3 linked regions of the Drosophila melanogaster genome follow. The protein of the gene in region 2 interacts with the protein of the main gene of each other region in a pairwise test. Each region holds a gene or a part of one and is shown on either strand. Other genes may lie near its edges. The genes, in order: LpR2, Sh and CG11596.

Region 1 (7,763 bases), on a different chromosome or scaffold from region 2:
CCATCTAAGTGGTGTGCCCATTTTGTCCTCGAAAGTCATTTTTGTTTTTGTTGTTCTTTGTTCCACATTTAAATATATGTTTAATACATTATAAAAAAGTCTAACAATTTCTTTGAATGCTCAAAGAATAATTTTATCACGTTTGCCACACATATATTTATTGTAATTGTTTTGTCATACATAAAAATAAGTGGATTTGTCAATTTGTCTTCAACTTAAAGTTGAAGAAATATCCCGATAAATATGTTAAGCTGATTTAAATTTATTTTGACACGCCAATCATTCAAAGATGTCCCAAAAAACACATTCGACTTGCACACACATTACCGTCGCTCAACTTTAGATTTTTAACTGACAAAACGGAAGCGACGAAAACTTAATCAGCGCTACGTCAACGTAAATTTTGATTAATAAGACTCTCGAGCAGCTTGATAGTTATCCTTTCGGATGGGTTGACAACCCAGCGACTTCCTCTCAATTTATAAGTTCGACGTCTACCCTGTCACTGTTTTTTTCTCGATTCACGCACTGTTTATCAACACTTTCGTGGGATTCTGATTCAGATTTATTGCAAGCGTATTAATCAAACTGCTCCCCAAGATCCGCACGCCACCAGAGCCCCTTTTGTGCGGATGCAGCCAACCCACAACATTGGCTTTGTCATGGCCCACATTAATCATCATCAGGAGCTCGGAAGAGGTATATACCCATATATCCTTGACAGTTTCATAAATGCCAACGCAGTTGAGCCACTTGCATTGCCGCCAACCGCAAGTAGGCCCTCGCCTGGCACAACACTGCAATTGAAACCTCTAAAGAGAAGCCATCAAGCACCACCCCAAAACCGGCATCCCATCCTGTTCCATCATCCCCAGCCGCAAAGTATGAGGTTAATATCGGTGGTTTCGAGTGACGCCTCCACCCAGAGGAGTGTTTGCTTTAAAGTGCGGCTCAACTTAATGTTGATAACTTTTAATGTTTTGACTAGGAAACTGAAAGAAGTCCACCCGCGACGCCTGACAAAAATCCCATTAAATGCGCTGCGCAAACGATGTCATTAGGTTACCATTCCCATTCCCATTGCCATTTTCATTCCCAATCTAAGTCGGCGGCAGGCCGCTTCTTTCGCATAAAAGTTAGCGCCATCAAAGGCGCGAGCGCGTTTAAGTGTTTATTTGCGCCTAAATGCGCACTTTGAGCGATTTGATTGAAAATTCCTTCGCTGCTGTGGAGAATGGAGGATTTGAGGGGGATTCTAAGCGGCTTGGATTTTGATGTTGATTCCCTTTTTTTTGCTCTGCTTCTTTATTGCAATGATTTCCGTTTGCCTTTTTATACAGTTTTCCCTTTTGTTTATCATTGCCGAAGGTGAAGTAGCGTTTAAGCCCTGTCATAGTGCGACAAAATCTGTATTAAAGGGTTGGAAAAATGTCGTAGTTGTTCAAAACATTAAATTTAGCATGCTATGAAAAGGATTGTTTTAGATCCTGATTTAATTCGCTTTTAATGTTGTGTGTCAATTATTAAGAATTTTTGAACTTTTTGTAGCATGTTCACAGTTTCAACTATTTCAATTTATTTGTTAGCTCTAAAAATTTGTTAATAACGTATGTTGTTTTTATTGTTACATATTTCATAACACGTTTGAATATGTTTATAAACTAATATAAGTTTGTGGCAGTTGTGTTCATATTTGTTCGATCGTTTTTTGTTCATCTATTATTTTATTGAAAATTTGTCTAATTCCGACTTAATTTTTTCCGCAGTTGCCGACCAGCGTCCAGTGAAAAACCATACTCAAATCGAAAAGACCACAACGCCCAGTGAGCAGCCGGATTCCGGCTTTATTGCACTGGTGGTCATAGCCAGTCTTAGTGGATTCGCTGTCCTGCTATCGGTGGTAAGTTGATTGGGCAGAGATGTGGCGACGTTCGGGGTATTCAATTAACTAATCAATTTATGTGGTGCCCTGACAGCTCCTGCTCATTGGCTACCGCTACTGCAGCAAGCGACGCATCAACTCGATGAACTTCGAGAACCCCATCTACCGCAAGACCACCACCACAGAGGATCACTTCAGTTTGCGCAAAAATCTGCCGGCGCGGATCTACGACCACACCAGTGTCATGGATGAGGAGGTGGGTCTCCAATTATTAATTACCATAAAAATCCAAGTATAATGATAAGCATTGGGTTTAACACACCCGCAAATGATTTAATTTCCCTTCCATAATATTAATCGGTATACTTATTATAATTTATCTTAATTTATCTTGCAGTACTCACCCGTCATAGGCATATCCTCGTATTAGATTGATTCCTCTGGAATCGTGTGAAATGTGGATTGGATGATTGTTGCGCTTGGTCGCTGGGAAAATTAGATGACCAATGCTAACTCGAGACCCGCGGCAGAAACACACACGCCTGAAGACTGAGCAACTCTGTGTATTGTGTAAATTAATTATTTTAAAATTTTAAGGCACGGCAAGGACGGCGGGTCACCTTGGAGCGCATCCTTAAAGGATGCTGTACAAAATACTATGTCGCAGAGTTCTATCACAAATAAACAAAAGAAAAACAAAACAGAAATAGTTACGAGAAACGTAAAAGGAAACGAGAAATCTAATTGCTAATTATAAATTACATAGTTCCAAACTGTATATAGCTGTAAGTGTGCATTATTTTTAAATGACGCAACTTAATATTACTATACGTAAACATGACAAAGAGATCATTGTGCTTATGGTCTACTATTAGAGCAAGTTGAGAAATTATATTTCTGTTGTCAAGGAGCAGAGTCGTTTTATTATATTAAAATTATTACTGCATACGTATTAGCCTTTTGTTAACTGTATTTGTTAAGTGTACATACATATGTATATGTTTCCCCACTAAAAAGAAAATATGATGAATAATAAACTCAGAACATACTTATGTGTAGCGTACTCCTGTGATATAATTACATGACTTTGTGGATGGGATTTTAATTTGATTGATTTCAAAGTGTGAGTGGTAAGTTGCCAGCTATTTTTCCAGTTTTTATTTCCAACATTGTCCAATTTACAATTTTTTGCTGAATTTGTAGCATTTCGTTTCATCTTCAGATGCACAGCTGTTAAAAATGCACATATATTTCTGTTCCTTGAAGAAATCTCAATTGGAAATGTACCGAAGGGGAATAATTCATCAAAGCTTGATGATTTTACACTTTGATGATATCCAGACTTGCTAAAAGCCCATCGTGTTTCTCAAGCATCTTTGTTATTCAAATGGAAACCATGTTATGAATTGAAATGCAGAGGTACAGGTGCTGTCAATAGATCAATTTCCGCTACAGTAAATGGTTTAACATTTATTGACCAATTGTGATTTACGTGTGTCTATGCTACAAAGCCCATTACTAGTTTCAATCGAAGCCTTGACTGATTGACCCGGGCCAACAAACAATTTAGACCTGTAATTTTAGAAATTGCTACCTCACTAATTGGATGCCGAAACGACAAATAGTGGAACACACCTCCAAAATAGATTGATACACGTTCTAAGAGAGCGGCCGAAGAGAGAACCACCTGTTAGCTCTGATTCAATGTCAGCTTATTTGCGCACTGGTAGCTTTGTCTTCTCTTTGTGTTGGAGATCGAGGCTTTTGATTTTCAACGCTTTGGGGCTCCCCCCGATGATGACGTCGACACTCTCTTTTCTCTTCGCAGGTGTGATATGGTACGCGTGGCGATCGTCGGTTCGTTGCCGAACGAAAGACGAGCACTGCCGAAGTTTCTAAGACGGTTCCATTGGTCCGCTCACTTCGGAAGCGATATTCCGGCAGTTTGTACTCGCAGTGCGTGTCGCTAGGTCGTCGCTGGTCGCTTATCGCTCATACGCCCCATGCTTTGGATATAACTTCACCGTTAAACCGAGAAATTTCGGAATGCGAAAAAAGTTTCGGAAAGCAAAAGTTCAAAGCAAATAAAAAAAAGTTCAAGCCGGGGCTTTAAGGCCAGCTCATCGCATTTGTCGAGCGGAAATAAGTGTTAATTAAAAAAAAATGTATGAATCTATTTTGGCCGAACGTTACGTCAATATGTCATGTGAAAAAACAGCATAAATTTTAGTCCAACATGTGTTTTGCCATTCAATAAAGTAAATACAAGATTTGAACAACCAGAACCCATTCCGAGCTGGAATAATGGTGTCAATGGGTAGTGGCTGCGCATGACTTACCAGGCTTACCTGGCTTATCAACCGTTATACCGCTGATAGCAGATATATCCAAATAAAAAATTATTTTAATGTTTTAAAATGAGTGAGAGGGACAGCATAAGGGGCTAACCCTCGCTTTGACCAAAGGCGTCGCCCTTAGCTTGCAGTTTTATGTGTGTATTTCGTGTTTTCTGTGCTCTTATGCTGTTTTTTCGCAACATCGTATGTTTCTTTTTCCCTTCATCGCCTTTTCCGCATGTTTATCGTACCTATGCCTTACACTCTCATCCCGATACAGTCGATTCATTCTCTCACTTTTGTGAACGTTTTTTTGGCAAACGTTGCGTGTATTCGCCTAAACTTATTATTTAATGGACGTGTATAAATAAGTTGGCAAATCGAACCAGAGTGAAAAGCGTGTGTGACCCACTGAGCCTAAAGTGCAATTTCTACCGTATATATATTCTAGCAGCTGCAAAAGATGGCCACAACCTGCATGCCGCATTTCACGGAATATTTTCAAACCACCACCCAGTCAGAGTTAACAACAAATGAAAGTGCCAACAGCAGAAGCAGCAGCAGCAGCAGTGGCTGTAGAGAACCGTCCAAAACCAGTGGCTTCTTCTACAGCGCCAGCACACATTACCAGAGCAAAGTGCAGCAGCTAATCAGCTTCAGCTTCACCTCATCGTTCCACCTGCTCTTCATCACCTGCATACTGAGCATCAGCAAATTCTGCAATGCGGCGGCGGTAAATGCCGCCCATGTGACCGCTGCCACGCCCACTGCCAGCGAGATAATGCACAATCTGAGCGGATCGGCGCTGCTAGAGCGTCTGAAAGCCAGTACTCTGGGACCCACCCTCGATCAGCTGAAGCATCTGGCTCCTGCGGCAGCCAACAGCATTAGTCCTGGTACAGGATCTGGCATGGGAATCGGGATGGGACACTTTGGCAGTTCCATTAATTCGGTGCTAAACGGAAATCCTTTAAAGTTCTTGAATGTGTCAGGAAAAATCGGCACTCCTTTGGACATATGTAAGTTTTTACAAGCCCATAAAAATGGTTTATTCCTAGAAGTTCTAAATGCTAGAGGTATTTGTAGTTATAAATCTTTTAGTCACTCTTTTTATCAACTTGTATTTATTTTTATGATTCATGAAAGGCTTAAACATTCATACATATTGCCGGCGAATTATTAGAATTAGTCAACTATTAACATCACGTCACAAATTAAGCTTTCCATCATATCAAAACTAATCATTTTTGTAAGAGTTGCCGTATTTTAAATATCTATTAAAAAGCTATGAATATAAAATTCAAAACTAAAGTGCAGAATAATCAAAATTTAAACTGAAAAATAATTTAAATCACAATATACTTTGCAGCCTTAATTGAGAGTTGTAAACACTTAAGGCTCGTAATCATGGTTCGACTTTGTCGGATCTTCTTCGATTTCTCCGAGTGTAAGGGGATGCGGTGTTTATAGTTGGTGGCTCCAACTCCAACTCTCTCATTTCTGGCGATCATGCCACCAGCCATGTGTACATACGTATGCATACCCCGATTTCCAGTCCGACTCCGATTTTAGCTAAGGCTCCGACTCCGACTGACTCGGCTCAAGTTTTATTTATGTGAATTTTGTTGCCAGCCGAAAGCCAAAGCGTCTGGCAATGCCAGTAAACTGCACTTCCATTTCCATGTCCCAACATTCCACATCGTCATACGATTTCCAGACTGCAGAGCTCTTTCCCTTTTCTCCCCATGCTCCGTGCTCTTTTTTGTCGGCAGAAACCTTTTACTTTCCTCTACAACTCGCCTCTGCTTACACTGTAATAAAAGTTCCACTAAAACTCATGCTTAAAGTGACTAAAGTACCGGGATAAAATCGAGTGTGGCATACTTTTTGGCGTGCTATATATGACATTAAAAAAAAGGGTTCTTTAAAGTTCAGAATTTATGCATTTTCTTTCGGTGTACACTCTTTGCTTGTTCTGCTTCCCCTTATAATTATTCCATTTTATGCTTATTTTTTGTACCGGCCGGCATCGCTACATGAAGCGAATGGAGCGCCACTTGAAGACTTAAACTCCGGCGGCTCTTGTGAAATGTACAGAGAGAATACCGAGAAAGAGAGAAGAGGAGAGAAACCGTGGTAGACGGGGGAGCAGAGAACAAAAAGAGCAACAAGTGGCCGATTCTTGGAGTTTCTTGGCCTTGCACATTGGTCAACGTTTTTTTGTAAATCGATCCGAGCACGTGGCAGATATATGTACATTCTACTCCAACATAAACTGGAAGTAGCTCGACTTATTTATAAACATTTGTTGTTACCAAGCTGATCTCGATATCTATTTTGATTATCCCCCACCCAGAAGTAATTCAAGCACTTTAAAAAATATGGCTTAGCTTTAAAAAAACATAAACAGAAGATTGACTAACGAAGTAATTTTAGCTTCAAACGCGGCTGTTTGTAAATGACATTGAATAAGCAGGCAGTTTACATAAAGGCCTACGTAAAACATTCAAAGAACATTCAAAACATTCAAACATTCAAATTGGTAAGAAAATTGCTGAATAATCAATTATTTGCGCAAATTAAAAGTACAGTGTAGAACCAAAAATACAATAGACCCTGATTAAATATCAGGGCATAGTATCGACCATTTCACCATTGTTAGTCGCTTTTAATCTGAATATTTTAGTCCATCATATCGAAATATGAATAGTTTTTGTTATGTTCGCAGTAAGGGAATAACAAATGGTTGGACTCCAAGCAAGTTTGTTTTTAATCTTCAACGAAACCTTCAACTTGGCTAAAAGCGGAGGGTTAAAACGCTTTGGATTTAAGCCAACGAATGTCAAAGGTAAAAACAAAATTAATAACGCTGGGTCATGATAATAGCCGTAGCTTTAAGGTTAAAAGCAGATGATTGAAAGTGGGACTAGCGAATTATAAACCGTTGCATCAAAAGATAGTTTGCCATCAATCTATGTCAAATTTATTTTCGTGCTTTTAAGTGGTTTCTGGTCGAGAATTATCAACTCCTGTGAGTAAATGCATTTCCGCTGTACTTTTGACAGTTTTAATATAAACCAATAGCTCAGGTGCCAAATAAATCGTGAGACAGGATTTAATACGATTTATAGGTCATGGCATGACAGTAATTTCCGCCCAACTAAACTTGTAGTAAGCCAAAACGAAATCATTGCAAACTACTCGGGAGGACAAAATTGACAACTCTCATTTGGCAGCAAGTTCTGGGCACGTCCTTGACAGCTTTAATGACTGCTTTTAAACTGCGACAACGCAAGTTTCCCAGGCATCGACTTCCTGGCCGAGCTGATTTATTTCAAAATCGAATTTAAACAAGTTTGCAGGCGACGATGGCGAGGAAAAAATCACCCGGCCAGTCCCAACTTGGCCGGGACATTTTTAATTAACTTGGCTAATTACGCCTGGAATTTGCACGTGCTCTCTGGATCCCACTGTCCCCGATACAAACTTGGTCCCTTAACTGGAGTTGGCTGCATTACAGACCGTCTGCCTTAATTACAAAAACA
Region 2 (7,438 bases):
AGTCCCAACAGCCCACAATCCACCCCCCACCACCACCTTCCGACTATCCTATCCAAATCCAAATGCAAATTCAAATCCAAATCCAAATCCAAAGCCAATCCAGAATACGCAACCCTCGATGTGATATATGTGCCTCTGTGTGTGTGTACTACTCGGAACTACTCGTACTAACTTAACTGCAAAATCTGAATTGTGTATGTAACCCATGTGTTTACCTAGCCGGAATAAAAGTTGCCAAAATCATATTCTTTGTATCTATCTTTAGCCGTAAGCCTTGACTTGATCGGTCAGTTCTATATGCCAAATCATTCTGTATAATCATGCATTAATAGTACTCTAAATGCTTATTGTTTCGCCTTATTTGCCATTCGCACTCGTTGCCGCCAAATGCCTTTGCTTGGCACATGTATCTAGAATCTATAGATAATGATAACTCGTAACTTGTACTGTGTATTGTGATCATATGCTGATACATATACATTTAACAATCTGTCTAATCGCTGTTTTTCTTTGTTTCCTATTTGCAATACTCCACGATACCCACGATGACCGAACTCGATATGAACTAATACCATCAACTTCCAGGTAAGTCACAAAATACAATTATCTAAATTGGAAGATTGTGTGGGCTTAATTCTATAAGGATTTTATGGAAGATAATCTAAAATCTTAAACTATTATTGGTAAAACATTAAAACAAGTGTATATATTTCTCTGCAAGCATTAAGTCATTAAATAGCAAATGAAAACATGAGGTGAAATGTCATTTAACATTAAAAATCTAATTTTCTGAACTGAAGAATTATAAGTACTGCAGCGACTCTTAGAAGATTGCTCAAAGAGGCTAAAGTATCCAAAATGTTGACAATAAATCCCAATCATTCAAAACCTATAGAGTTTAAGAAACTAGTAAGTGCAACTGTTAGAACTAAATGAGCTTTTATTTTTAAACCCAAAAGACGTTCTTATTTTAGTTTATTAGAAAGATTATAACATTTTCTGGATAACTTCGTCTCATTAAAAAAAAATATTTCAATAATATTAGCTTTTCTCCCTTCAATAAATTGTAAAATGCTATTTGGTAAAAACTATTAAATTATAGTTAAAATTTCACAAACGGTTGTATTTTACAACCTAACCAACTTATTCTCCAAATGCTTTTGTGTGGCTATAAAAGGTTTGCGTTCCGATAAATTTTCGTCCAATAATTTTTCAACGCAAAACCTGCATTAGCAAGGACACCAAAGCTTAAAGCTTTTCTGATTTTTTGAAAATTGAAGAGCTTAAAAGCTTGACTAAAACACAATTTCTGATTTGAAGAAAACTTTCTGATAGCTTTTAAGCTGGGAAAACAAATAGCTACGTCAACTTTGTTGAAGCAGAAGCCAGAGCTTTAAGCTGCGCTTTATCCAGCTTTCCGTGGCCCTTTTCTCTCGCTTTCCCTTATGTTTTCCTTTCCGAACTTTCCCATGCTTTGTTTGGGCGCGCGTTTGTGTGCGTGAATGTGCCATGTGTTTATTTATTAATAATTGCATTACTCATACGCCACGCCGTCCCTCGCTGGAAGCATGGCGTTCAAGTGCACACGTGACACTTATATGCGTGTGTCTGTGTATTACTTGGGAGCCTTTACATGGCCATGTGTGTGCGTCCGTATGTGTGTGAGTGTGCAGTTATTCGCATTATTATAATCAAGTGGAGCCAACAAAAGGGAAGCGAAGGAATAGGCTTCGGAAGGGGGGAGCATAACGAGCCCGGCGGCGTTTTAAAGCACACATTAATAATAGAGGAGCACACCTTTGCCACCAAAGGGTGGTGGTGATGCGGTGGCGAGTTGGAGGGCATGGGGTTGTGGCTTTTGTCGTTTCTCCTTCGATTCGATTTTCTCTTGCTCCCGTGTGCATGTGAGTGTTAGTGTATGTTTGTGTTTGGTTCATTTACAGTTTTCACCTAGTTTTCGTGTTTCGGTTGTTTTGCCTTCGGCCGCCGCCTCAGCGGCCCCTAGCGGCATTTGCTTTGTTTGACACCGCCACTCATCCCCGCCGACGGGCCCCCATTTCCAGTCCAGCCAGGAGCTAGAGCTCCATCTCCAGCGGACGGTGCCCGAGTGTCGCCAGAGTCGCCAGTGTCGCCAATGTCCCTGTGCCCATGGTTCCCGCTCTTCTTGCTCAGCCATGTTCACCCAGGCTACTCTTTGGCTTTGTTGTTGCGGCTCTGCTTTGTTGTTGGTTTTCATTTTATTCATTTCGTTTCTTTTTTTTTTTTTGGTTTTGTGTTTTTTGGGCCTCCTCTGGTCGCCGTGTTCGTGCCAAGTGGCACTAAAACTATTTGCCTTTTGCCCAGTTTTCGTATGCCTTTGGCCAGCGGGAACAGGAGCGGTACCTGCCACACAGCACAGTACAGAACATCGCACATCACACATAGCACACACTCGGCACACACAGAACACAGCACGCAACACGCAAGAGGCGCCATCGGAGTCGGAGTGCAGCAGTGGAAAACTCCGTATAGCTTTAGATATATAGCTATACGATCCAGTCCGCTGACAAAGCCGGAGCCAATGCAGCAAAGCAAATCGCACGTGCTCGCCTCGGCCCAAAATGTTCGTGGCGAGTTCGTGGCGCCCAACGTGGGGCGTTCGTGCCACCGCATTTGGCTCGGCTCGTAGTTCGGCGGTTCTTCTATCGCCGGACACTTTTGCAGCGCCTCAGTTCGGTTCAGTCGTCGCAGTCGCAGTCACGTCGTCACAACGTAATCGTGCAACGCGTTCCGCGCTTGGCGGCGACTGTCGTCAGTCAGTCAATCAATCAGTCAGTCAGTCAGTCAGTCCGTCAGTCAGTCGGTCAGTCAGTTAGTCAGCCAGCTAGTCAGTTAGCTAGTCATTCATTCAGTCAGTCAATCAGTCAGTGTGTCAATCTGACAATTGGAGTTTCTATCCAGACTTCAATATTTTTTTACCTCGCTCAAAACCCCCCACTCGCACTTTAAATAATAAAAAAAAGCAGGTGGTGCGTGCCGCGTAGCCGCGCGTGATTCTTGTTGTTGTTTTTTTTTTTTCGGTGAATGTGAGTGTATGGTTCTCTTTTTTTAAATGGTAACTCTTGTTGTTATTGTTATTCCGAGCTTGGTGCGTGCCGCAAAATTCGAAACACAAGGAGAAACTCCATTTAAAAAAGGCGTTTAAAACAGCTTAAGAAGCCATTTAAGCACCCTTCCACGCGCCACAGAAAAGGGATGAGAAGAGAAAAATACACCAGGACATGATCAGAGGCTCCAGGGGAATCCTGGAGTCCCTCCAACTGTATCGCCCTATCTCCGACTGTTTCTGTGTTTGTTTACCTTAATTAATGCACTGGCAAGCGGCAAATGGACCTGGACACTGCCAACATAATTTGCCTAGGGGGCGCCACTCGAATCTACACTGCTGCAGCCTCCGGTGGAATGATGATTCTGATGGTAGTGGTGGTGGTAGGGGATTGTCCACGCCAACTTAGCCCACTGCAGGTCGAGTTAATTAATATTTCACTCTAGTTAAGGGGGAGAAAGTGGAAAATGGTAGGGATTGGTCGGGTGAAGTAGGTTGAAGTAGGGGTAAGAGGCACCAGTGAAGTTTTGCTTATATAAGCAACTTCAATTCCTATTGCCTTGTGCCATTTCCATTCCCATTCCCATTCCCACTCCCATTGCCATTTCCATTTCAGTGCAATTCGAGTGGCCCAAAAGAGCCAGAAGGAGCAAAAGCTGTAGCAGTAGCCTAAAGAGAAACTGGCAAATTGCTCATACGACGCATTGGCGCCGTCAAAAACTGAACGAGCCACAAAAGCGGAATGAGGAGTGGAATGAGCAGCCGAAGCTGAAAGAAAAACAAGTTGACCCAATTTACAATTGTAAATCAAACTTAAAATCACAGCCAAAGTTAAACAAAAATAGAATGGTGGTCAGTAGCAAGAAGGGCAGGCATGTTTAATTTACAATAAGACAGCCTCAAGGATCGAATTCAGAGATCAATTGAATGCCTCGAAATTAAACTGGGCAGTGGCCTTAATATTTGACCACAAATGAAGGCAACGTATAAATTTTGTATGTCAAAAACAAAAACCCAGAAACAGGAACTGCATTGATTGGATTAATGGCTTATGTTTCGTTGCTTCGACCGTTTTCTTTCCATTGTCATAGAGAGCATATATAAATAATAAATACACGGGCTTGCAACACAATTGTGGGTGAAAGCAGGCTTTTCCAGCAATTCGAGCACCTCAGTATGCAGTGAAAACTAAACAGATGAACGCAAACATTGGAGTAATTATGTTGGGGATTTTGAAATGCATTCATTTTGTGGTTTCATCTTTCAGCAGAGATGAGAGGTTTACCATAACTTTGCCATCCGTATTGTTTGGCAAGTCACTTGGATATCTAGGAAAACTTTGGGCCTTCCGCCCTTCGCTTTCCACCAACCACCCAGTTTTCCCATACAAATTAGTTTGGATTTGGATTCTCGCTCTGTTCATTAATTTGTCTAAGAGCAGCTGAGGTTTTTCCCCGTATTACAACTTGAGCACTTGGGCATGTGAGGTTATTATTCAGCCTCGTCTTTGTATTTTTGTTTAAGCTTCTTTTGTTTTCGCTCCTCCTATTGTTTTCCTCTCTATGTTCCCCGCTTTTTTTACGCCTCATGTTCTCATTGTATTTGCGATTAAATTCAAGTTTGACTCGCACACGCCAAAATTAATTGGGCACTTGAAAAGTTGAACAAGTCGATCGAAAGGGGGGCGAATGGTTGCAGGGGCTAGATGTGCCGTGACGGCTCGACAGCTCAGCCTTCTGTTAACCCTTATCCACTCAGTGGAAAGTGGCAAGGGGAAGGAGAATGGGTGGGAAACCCCTTTGTAATGTTCTAGGCAACTGATTTATTTTGATTGAACTTTGCATGCAAGCAGCTGAGGCAACAGGAAGAACTCCTGAGCTTTCGAGCAACAACTGGCAAGTGAAACATCATAAAACAAAGCCAGTTTGTGGTTGAATACGAATACGAGCACAGCCGCAGGCTTGGTCTTGTTGATGGGTTGGGGGGGGGGGTCTGGTTTTATGGGGGGGTTACTACTAGATTGAGGGGATCGGAGGCCATTCGCACGCACATTGCCTGGTTTTTAGGCGGCAAGGCTTAGGCTTAGCTCCAGCTCAATCGTAAATGCGTCGAGTGTGGTTCGTTCTTCTCCGCACTCTTAACCCCTTTGTGCCAAAGCTGCTCGCCAGTGTGCCAGTGTGTCTGTGTGCGTGTGTGTGTGCAGGCTAAGTGGTTATGGCAACAACAGCGCTAATAAATCCCCTCTGCACACGCCTCTGGTGCTCGCTAAGCTCTCCTAATGCCACTGAGGCAACTCGGCTTTGTCTTTCGAGTTGAATTTGCCCAGTATATGGCGCATATATCGAGTGCCTTTAAAGTGGTCGTCTGTCTTCGCAAAAACATCAGCAGCTTCCCTGATTGAATGGTGGCGAATTTTTATTCTTGCCACAACTCGATATATCTGCCAACTGTTTTGCTCCATTTTGTCTTTCCTGCCACGCTTGGCCATTTAGTTTTGGCCCAATTGCTAACTTACATATGTATATATTTATGCGCATATGTTTGCGGTCGGGCATGAACACACACACTACAAGAAAATTTGGCCACCAAAAATATGCACAGAGTCGTATTTTATATATGCTATATACTTGGTGACTTTATGCCTCATATATATATATATATGTATGTAGTATATGTCTTCCGCAACTATAAAACATTTAATGTTGCAGTGAGACTTTCTGATTTCCTTTACAAAGTTTTTAAAACTACTTTAGGGGCTTATAGAAAAAAAAATGGCAAATACTTGCTTTAGTATGCACGTTGATTTTATTTTACTAAAATGTAACGAAATGTTCCAATTAAATGAGCCTTTAGATAGTTGACCTTTGGCAATCCCGAACTTAAAATTGCCAGGGCTTTGGGTGATTTGTGTTAACCTGAATTAGTTCTCAGTGTGCCATCTATCTATGGATATTGTAAATTATTCGCCTGGATCCGGAATCTCTTGCCAGTGGATTTTGGTACTCCGGCCAGAGGCTGTGCAGCTCGGCTCCGAGAAATGTGAAATGTGAATTTCGAATGGCAAATGGCAAATGGGGAATGTAGGAAGTAGAACGGAGAACGGAGAAAGGAGAAAGGAGCACAGAGAACGGAGAAAGTTACGCACTGCGGCGATGGTTTTTGGGCTTTTAATATGCTGTCGAGAGGTGGAAATATGTGTGTGTATGTATGGATACACGGCTGTGTGTGCGTGTAGATTGCACGTGCGCTGCGTGATTTTAATTTGAAACAAACATAGCCAGAGCACCCAAACACACACCAATTTTGCGTTCCTTTTTTTTAAGGTTTTAGTTTCTTCTCTACTCTTTTTTTATATTTAATTTTGTTCATTTTTTTTGTGGCCCCGGCTTTTCACAGTTTTATTTGGGTTTTCCGTTTTCGCTCGGTTCTCATTCCTATGTTTTTTTTTGCCGTTTTATTTGTTTTTTTTTTTTTTTGGTAATTCTTTTTACGACTCAACAAGCAGCAGAAGTATAACAAACCAAAAAGGAAGAATACAAACCAAAAAAAAAAAAAAATAAATAAAGAGAAAACAAATAGGGCGGGTGGCACAGAGAGAACATTTATTGATCTGCGGCCGCTTGAAGCCAATTTGAAGGTCAAGCATACGCACCGTGGTACCTCCGAGATGGGGCCATCTTCGCAGTGAACGAGTTTTGCAGTGTTACATAAAAATATGCAAGCGGCAACCAATTTCCCTACACCCCACCCCATTCGCCACCCCGCTCGTGACGTCATGGTAAATTATTTTCAAATTTGCGCCCAAAGGCCAAACAAGAAGCAGCTGTGCTGCACAAAGCGGAAACGGAAGTAGCAGCAAGGCGACAGGAGGCCACAGCACGGCAAACATAGCATACTTTTCAGGGCTCTGTGGGTGAAAGGCCGTAAGGCTGTACGAAGTAAGGATGTGCGGATTGGAGGACTGAAGGCTCCCAGGCTTGGAGCCTGTAAAGCAGCGACGACTGCAGTTTGGCTCCCGCTGCTCCGCTTGTTGTTCCGTGTCAAACATTTTCATCCACTTGTTCGCATTATCCTGCCAGACAGCGCACAGCGGGCGAGGGCATCAAAAGATGCCGCCAGCAGCAGTAGCAGCAGCAGCACAACCAGTGGCAAAAATTGTTACAATTGCCGTGGCGCATGATGGTTACGGGGGCTGAAAGCCAAATCCGTGCGAGCCAAACGGGCGAGAGAAAAATGAAAAGAATAAAATGGCAATAAACAGGCAGGAAAATGGGCCTGATAATGCGAGAGCTATATACACTTTGCATGCCATGCTATGCGATTGAAGCTATTAAAATTCAAGTAGTTCACTTT
Region 3 (8,047 bases), about 16 Mb from region 2:
ACCTTACGCCTAAATCACACTCACGTCTTCGCTCAGAAAAAAACCTAAAACGGCTGCTATTAAACAATCCTTTGCTTATAGATATTCGAGGCGTATCAGATCAAAGGACCAGAGTACTCCAACCGTCTTCTGGCCCTGGTTTCATCGCAGTCGGGCGGCACGTTTGCCATCATCGCGTTCTCCTACTTGCGCACTCCATTGTCCTCCGCGAACGAGCTGATCATCAACAAGGTGTTCGCAATCGACCACAATTTCCAGTTGCGACAGGGTGAGATGAAGGGTGCATGTTCATCACACAGCTTGACTATGCTAGCCAAACAAATTGCCCAGTAACTGTTTGTCAAGTAGTCACAAAACCAATAAGTTTGCGCTCATTATTGGCCATAACAGATTACGACTGCATTTACTTATGATAATATTGGTATCTCAAATAGTTTCAGCTGAGATGAAAGCAAACTAATTAGTGAAAGCTCGCTCTTTTTCATATATCATTTTCCAAATTTTTTGCAGACAGCAAGAGCTCGATCACCACGCAACAGTTTGACCTGTCCACAGCCGAGGATGGCCCCATCAAGTACTACTACTACGCCACGGAGAGCCACCACTACGAGGAGTTTGTGGCCAAGGTGATTTCCTTCAAGAGCACCATGGCGCAGCATGATCCCGAGACGGTGCTTAACTTCAGGTGGCTGAATGACTACCGGCAAATCGGAGAAGTGAAGCAGGAGCTGAAGAAGCGGGAGAGCGAGTACATTGTCTACAAGGACATAATGTGAGATGGAAAATGCCCTGTCAAGCAAGAGTTCTCACGCACATTTATTCAATCCTTGCAGCATCTACTGCGCCACTTGGAATGTGAACAACAAGACCTGCAGCGACAGCAACAATCCACTGCGAGCCTGGCTGGCTTGCAGTGAGAAGCCGCCGGATATCTACGCGATTGGACTGCAGGAGCTAGATACTCCCACAAAGGCTATGTTGAACTCCACCCAGGTGCAGGCCATCGAGAAGCAATGGATGTGAGTGTGCCACATAAGTTATATAGCCTCGTTACCGAGAGTCTAAGTTGGTTCTTTCTCCCGCAGCGATAAGATGATGGACAGCGTCCACCCTGACGTAGAGTACGAAATCCTGATGTCGCACCGCCTGGTGGCCACCATGCTGACGGTCATCGTGCGCAAGCAGCTGCGGCAGCACATCATACGCTGCCGACCAAAGTCGGTGGCCCGCGGCATCTTCAATACGCTAGGCAACAAGGGCGGTGTCGCCATTAGCCTGCAGCTCAACGAGGGCAACATCTGCTTTGTGAACTCCCACCTGGCCGCCCACATGGGCTACGTGGAGGAGCGGAATCAGGACTACAACGCTATCGTGGAGGGCATACGCTTCGATGATGGCCGAACAATCAGTGACCATGAGTAAGTTTGGGGAAGAAGGCATAAGTATAAGTCAGTATTATTTCACTCCATCTCTGTCTTTTTCTAGTCACATCTTCTGGGTCGGCGATTTGAATTACCGCATCCAGGAGCCGCCCGGCCAACAGCGACCAGGACCACTGAGCGATGCCCAGACATACGAGCTGCTACTGCAGTACGACCAGCTACGTCAGGAGATGCGGCGTGGAAAGTGCTTTGAGGGCTACACCGAGGGCGAGATCAAGTTCCGGCCGACGTACAAGTATGATCCGGGCACGGACAACTACGACAGCAGCGAGAAGCAGCGGGCGCCGGCCTACTGCGATCGAGTGCTCTGGAAGGGCACGCGCATCGAGCAGCTGGCCTACAACAGCATCATGGAGATTCGGCAGAGCGATCACAAGCCCGTGTACGCCGTGTTCCAGGTCAAGGTCAAGACTCGCGATGAGGTCAAGTACAAACGGGTGCAGGAGGAGGTGCTGAAGGCAGTGGACAAGCGGGAGAACGACAACCAGCCACAGATCAATGTCGAGAAGACGGTCATCGATTTCGGGACTGTGCGATTTAACGAGCCGAGCACACGGGACTTCAACGTCTATAACAACTGCCCACTACCTGTGGACTTCAGTTTCAAAGAGAAGGATATACACGCCATCTGCGAGCCATGGCTGCACGTCGATCCGCGCCAAGACTCGCTGCTGATCGACTCCGCCCGAAGCATTCGGCTGAAAATGAACGCCAATGTGCGCACCATTGCCGGCTTGCTTCGCAAGATCCGTGCTAGCGACAACTTCGATATTCTCATCCTGCACGTGGAGAACGGGCGTGACATCTTCATCACGGTTACGGGCGACTATCAGCCCAGTTGCTTTGGCCTTTCCATGGAGACGATGTGCCGCACCGACCGTCCATTAAGCGAGTATTCCCAAGATCAGATTAAGCAACTCGTGAGTTCCCTTCATTTTTGTAATTACGAAGTTTTTCTACTGATCACGAACCACGTTTCGTTGCAGATGAATGACGAATCACCGGAATACCGTGTGACGATGCCCCGGGAATTCTTTCTGCTGATCGACTATCTGTACAGGCAGGGCTCCAAGCAGGTGGGCGCCTTCCCGTCCTACGACTCGCGTCTCTCCCTCGGCGCTCAATTTAACTCGGTGCGCGATTGGTTGGACACCTGGTCGGATGATCCGTTCCGTAAGTGGACTCTATTAGATTGCCACCATAATAGTTGTGAATATTCCCTTACAATCTACAGCTGCCAACGCAGAGACGGCTGCGCAGGCGCTGCTGCTTTTGCTGGATCTGCCGGAGCATGCTCTGCTGGAGCCGGTGGTCGAGAATCTGCTGGAGTGCACCAACAAGTCGCAGGCTATGGACTACATTTCGCTGTTAAGTCCCCCCAAGCGCAATGTTTTCATGCACCTTTGTATGTTCCTGCGCGCGGGCATCGAGAGTCAGTTCTATGATCTGCATCAAGTCGGTAGGTAGAGAAGCTCCAGCAGCATTGTACCACCATCGTAACGCCATTCCTCCCACACAGCATCCACCTTTGGCCGCATTCTGTTGCGAAGCACCGAGCGTGCCGCCTGGATGGACTACCACAGCCGATGCATACAGTTCATGCGGCTCTTCATCGACACCGACGTCGAGGCAATGGGCAACGGCAATGAGGGCGCCGGAACTGGAACAGGCTCGGGATCTGGGACCCGGGCGGGTCTGCAGGCATAGTCGCCGCAGCTGTGCCGCCGAATCGGAAGCGAGCGATAGATGTACTACTCTGTTGATAGTTACGCATAGTGTTAAGCTATTTATTTTATTTGTTGGTACTTTGTTGGCACTTAGCATTTATATCTTCTCTGTTTTAACTGTTAATTGTTTGTGCCCGCCCTCCGTTCATTCCAACTCGGTTGTCCCCGCCTGCATCACAAATCCATGGAGACACGCAACCAGCAACGCAAAGATAAATGAATTGTGTAAATAAGTAATTCGTTTAGCACGATTGTTTGTTAGTTTAAATTAATGAAGTGACCCTCTTACATCCCCGTTTCAGTTGCAACTGAAAATAAATAACACCGTTACATACAGTATCAATATTCTGAAAAATCTCTACATTGGCTGTTCACATATTTGGCCACGCCCGCCAAAATTTTCAAAATTAAAAGACGCGCTACGGATTTGTGAGTACGGATGGTATCGATTAAATTCCCAAAGTTATCGACAGTGTAACCAGATCTAAAGTGGCGACTTCAGTTGACGGCAGAGACGACAGCAGAATGCAAAGGCAACGGATTACTCCCAGGATTTAAATAGCATAGATTATCGTTGAAACCGCTGACGACGCGCCCAGATGAGCTCCATGGACTGCGCCACGTTCCCAATGCATCCTAAAATGGACGAGCAACTGGCCCGAACCTTCGTCATCAACGAGGAGGAGGAGGAGAAGCACATTCAGAAGGTGCAGAACGCCTTCCTTTACTATGGGTAATTGTTATTGTTTTTGCGCTGTGTTCTGGAGCACATGCTCCAAACGGACGCTTGCCAACCGATCGTCGTTGAGGGGGGGCGGTGCGGTGACAGCGACATGTGCAGACAAGCTGCCGACAAACTACCGTTTCGTTTGGCGCCAGTGCTGGCGGTGCAGGAGTAATCACGCCAAATCTGGCTAGTGTTTTCAAATGGCTCACCGTTCCTTAGAAGACGCATCTTCTAAAGTATCCAATAGAGCCAAACTACAACTGAGTGTTCATTACCACCATTACTGACATTTGGGTGAAAAATATCTGCATACCAAAGATATCAGATTGCCCATACAGCGTTTGTAAACACTGTAGTGTGTCATCACTGGTGATAAGCGTGCTTGCTGATAATGGAAATCAATTAATTTCTCCCATGCAGGCCATATGCGTGTCAGCGGCTAAAGCGCTCCATGGATTACCTGAACAGCCTGTCTGGCGAGGACCAAATCATGCTAGCCAAGTACCGAGGGCATCTGGAGTGCGTGCGCACGTGCATCGATCGCAACCAGGCGGTTATCCGGGAAATATTGCGCGGGCGTGTCCTCTATCCGACGGATGAGGCGACTGGTGATCCCTCGGAGTTTGACGAGCCGCCGCCAAATGTGCGGCACGGTGACATGGACCAGGTAATTGACTACATCTGCGGTTCAATGCGGAAGCTAGACGGCGCTCCTTCATCATCCCACAAATCCCAATCTAATAGAATTTATGTTCCTCTTTTTACTTTATCTTCTATTTTTCCTACCGCTTTGTAAATGGTCAGTTGAATTTGTCCCTCTTTATATTTTCAAATATTAGAATTACTTTTGGTAAAACAAGGGAAGAGTAATATGTATCTTTAAACTGGTCATTCTTGTGCTTAAAAATTGTTTCTACATGTCAATAGACTACTCACCTTACGTATAGTTTAATGTGCTTGGTTATCCTCCAATATCTTCAGTTTCTCTTTTAATTATTGATTGGAACTATTCGGTATTGTTTCTTTTCCATATCTGTGCACGACACCCAAACCATGCATCTCGCACCCGCTCTAATTCAACTCGCAGATTGATATTCCATTCGATGAAGCTGACGTTGAACCTCTAAAAATTTTAAAGGCCCAGTCGACGTTGAAGTTGATTGCGCGCGACTGGAGCACTGAAGGAGCCTTAGAACGGGAGCAATCGTATAAACCGATCATCGACAGCATCGTTGCGTACTTCAAGCACAGCGATTTGTGAGTGACTACTACACTAAGCGTACTTTAGTGGTCTTACTAATTAATTATTCATCTGCTTTATCTTAAACAGCGAGCTGAAGGATATAAAGATCCTAGTGCCGGGAGCGGGGTTGGGACGGCTCACCTACGAGCTTGCCTGCTTGGGGTACTCGTGCGAGGGCAACGAGTTTTCCTACTTCATGCTGATCGCCTCCAATTTTGTCCTCAACCTGTGAGTCCAGCTCAGTACGTTGCTTTCTAATGCTGGGTATTGAACGTGCTCTGTTGTCTCTTTCGGCAGCTGCGACAACGAGAACAAGTACGTGTTATATCCGTGGGTGCACCAGTATGTGAATAACTTAAGGCGTGAGGATCAGGTGGCCCCCGTTCGTTTCCCAGACGTCTGCCCGCTTAAAAATCCACCCAAGGGCCATTTTGAAATAGCAGCTGGCGACTTTCTGGAGGTCTACAAGACGCCGAACGCCTACAACTGCGTGGCTACGTGCTTCTTCATCGATTGTGCCAATAATGTTATTGACTTCATACGCACAATTTACAAGTGAGTTGCACACATTTGAACGGGTATACCGGCGATGTTGATTTTAACATTATCGTTGCAGAATCCTCGTGCCTGGTGGCATTTGGGTGAATCTCGGGCCGCTGCTGTACCATTTTAGCGACGTCAGCGGGCAAAACAGCATCGAGCCGGCTTTCGAGGACCTTTGCATTATCATGGAAAGCGTAGGATTCGTTATCGAGAAATCACGCACCGGCATCCGTACCAAGTACGCACAGAACCCGTCTTCAATGAAACAGAGCGAGTACCAGAGTCTTTTCTGGGTCTGCCGCAAGCCGGATCTATTTGAGGAGCAGCGGGGCAAACGCAAGGCCTCCAGGGAGCCACACGATCTTATTGTGCGCGAGGACAGCGAGGAGGAGGGGGAGCAACAGCCGGAACGAAATGAAACGGAAGAAAAACAGCAACTGAAACCGCTGGCCACAGCCAACTGCGAGACTGAGATAAAGGAGCAGCCATCGTGATAGCCATTGAACCAAACTCAACAACACATCCAAACACCACAATCAAGTCCAAGTGCAAACCCACCTACAGATGGCATCACGAACATCTTAATTACCACGTCACAGGCAAGACAGGGAATCGACACTGCAGTGCTTCGATGTTATAGATTACACTTTATACCTATTATTTACTCCTACACACTGTTATATATGCCAGTTTTAATTTTTCAAAGGATGCAAATTTTAGGACAATTTCTCGCTCATTATGCTCATCATGCTAACTTAAATGGGAAAAGCGTCCCAACTAGGTCAACCAAATATATCAAAAGAAAATTTTTAAAAATTAAGATAAAAAGTTTTTATTTGTTCAATTACTAGTGGCTTTAAACCGATACCTACCAATTCGATAGCCTTATTAAAGTTAACGCAAGTTCCACTTGCATCAGGGTTCTCGGCACTCGCTGCCGCATACCTCACCTTGATATGACAACCAACATGCTGTGGTTCTCCAAATAATAGTCAAGATAGTTAAGAGGGTTCGAGTTTACGATTAGCTTTATTTTAAGATTCAGTTCGCGATCTGCTAGCGGTTCCGTTATGTGTCCGTTCGAGACTGGGCCTCTTCTCCCGCCCCGCTGCTTTTATATCCGCTTCCCCCGTTGACCCCTCACCCTGAGTGCGACCAACGGCACTTGTTCCGAATGCACACATACACAAACATGTTCCTAGACAGGCCCCGAGTCGCCTGCTGACGGGGCCCGAAAACACGAGAGCCGAGCGCTGGTGAGTCCTGACGAAGATCGCAAGAAGAGGGTTCGTAACTTACACGAACATGTTACTAGACAGGCCCCGAGTCGCCTGCTGACGGGGCCCGAAAACACGAGAGCCGAGCGCTGGTGAGTCCTGACGAAGAGCGCAAGAAGAGGGTTCTTAACTCCTCCCCCCTCAAGATCTGCGTCCCGCAGATTAGTGAGCCTTGTTCAGCTCGGTTTGGCCCAATGCTTCTAAGTTTGCGGCAATCTCGCGGACATCGGGCATGCCTTTGGTGGACATCAGCTTCTTCCATAGGAAATAAAAGCCTAGGAATATGCAGATTGCGAGTGCCGCCTCGGTGAGAAGAGAGGCTAGTAGCTCACTCGCCATGTTGGACATCTTTTCCAAATTCTTCATGCTCACGTCGTGGACGTATTCCAGAGAAAGTTGAAAGTTGCTGGCCGTTATGTGGCTCAACACGGCCGGCATCGCCATTAGATGACTGACCGAGTAACTGGAATAGTTTTGACCGTTGACCATTATCGTCTCATTGTCGAATTGGATGATAAAGGAGCCGATCAGGTCGTAGTTCTCTGCAGCCGTTCTTAGAGTTCCGTTGAAGTTGGTCAGGAGGAGCATTCCATCGTCGACTTGCTTAACCACTCGTTGGTTACTTCAGTAGCCGAGGGATACAGCTAGCCTCCTCCAGTTTTTGCAGTTCCTCGAAGCCGTCGCTTGCGCGGCCAAGACGGCGTTCCAATCAGCAGCATCTGGAGATCCAGCTACCCATTTCCAAGCCGACCCCAGCCAGTCCAGTGAGCGGGATTTGCGCCGCATGCAGAAATCGCGCTTACAAAAAGACAATTCGTAAATATCTGGTCGTCTAAGTTGTTCTAAGACTACGTAGTGTGTGGGGGTACGGTACATTTTGTGTACTTATATTTTTATTTTTTTATATTTCTTATTTCTTATTTCTTATAATCTGTATTTTTTTATATTATTTTTTTTATAGTTTTTTTTGTATTTCTTTTTGTATTTCTTAACTCATTTTTTTTTTTTTTTTTTTTTTTTTTTTTTTATTAATGTTTTTTTTATATAGGGTATGCATGGGTGGAATATTTCATTAGCTGCCACAACGT

Evidence for each region.
Region 1: the proteins of Sh (region 2) and LpR2 interact in a two-hybrid assay, tested with the Drosophila melanogaster proteins (one large-scale study listed by BioGRID).
Region 3: the proteins of Sh (region 2) and CG11596 interact in a two-hybrid assay, tested with the Drosophila melanogaster proteins (one large-scale study listed by BioGRID).

The regions. Positions count from the first base shown.
Region 1 is NT_033777.3:25,736,529-25,744,291, reverse strand, and holds the start of LpR2 (lipophorin receptor 2), read left to right. Parts: upstream 1-3,826; 5' UTR 3,827-4,047; intron 4,048-4,669; 5' UTR 4,670-4,681; coding exon 4,682-5,237; intron 5,238-5,602; exon of another isoform or gene 5,603-6,265; intron 6,266-7,763. Other genes in the region: LpR1 (lipophorin receptor 1), read left to right, coding at 1,767-1,900, 1,977-2,138, 2,280-2,312.
Region 2 is NC_004354.4:17,985,961-17,993,398, reverse strand, and holds the start of Sh (shaker), read left to right. Parts: upstream 1-2,719; 5' UTR 2,720-3,065; intron 3,066-7,438.
Region 3 is NC_004354.4:1,924,018-1,932,064, forward strand, and holds CG11596 (uncharacterized protein), read left to right. Parts: upstream 1-3,665; 5' UTR 3,666-3,768; coding exon 3,769-3,902; intron 3,903-4,154; exon of another isoform or gene 4,155-4,248; intron 4,249-4,316; coding exon 4,317-4,563; intron 4,564-4,983; coding exon 4,984-5,153; intron 5,154-5,226; coding exon 5,227-5,367; intron 5,368-5,436; coding exon 5,437-5,694; intron 5,695-5,755; coding exon 5,756-6,176; 3' UTR 6,177-6,493; downstream 6,494-8,047. Other genes in the region: Ocrl (oculocerebrorenal syndrome of lowe), read left to right, coding at 82-268, 511-772, 834-1,019, 1,086-1,418, 1,486-2,362, 2,429-2,615, 2,677-2,901, 2,962-3,149. UniProt on the Drosophila melanogaster protein: S-adenosyl-L-methionine-binding protein that acts as a sensor to signal methionine availability to the mTORC1 signaling pathway.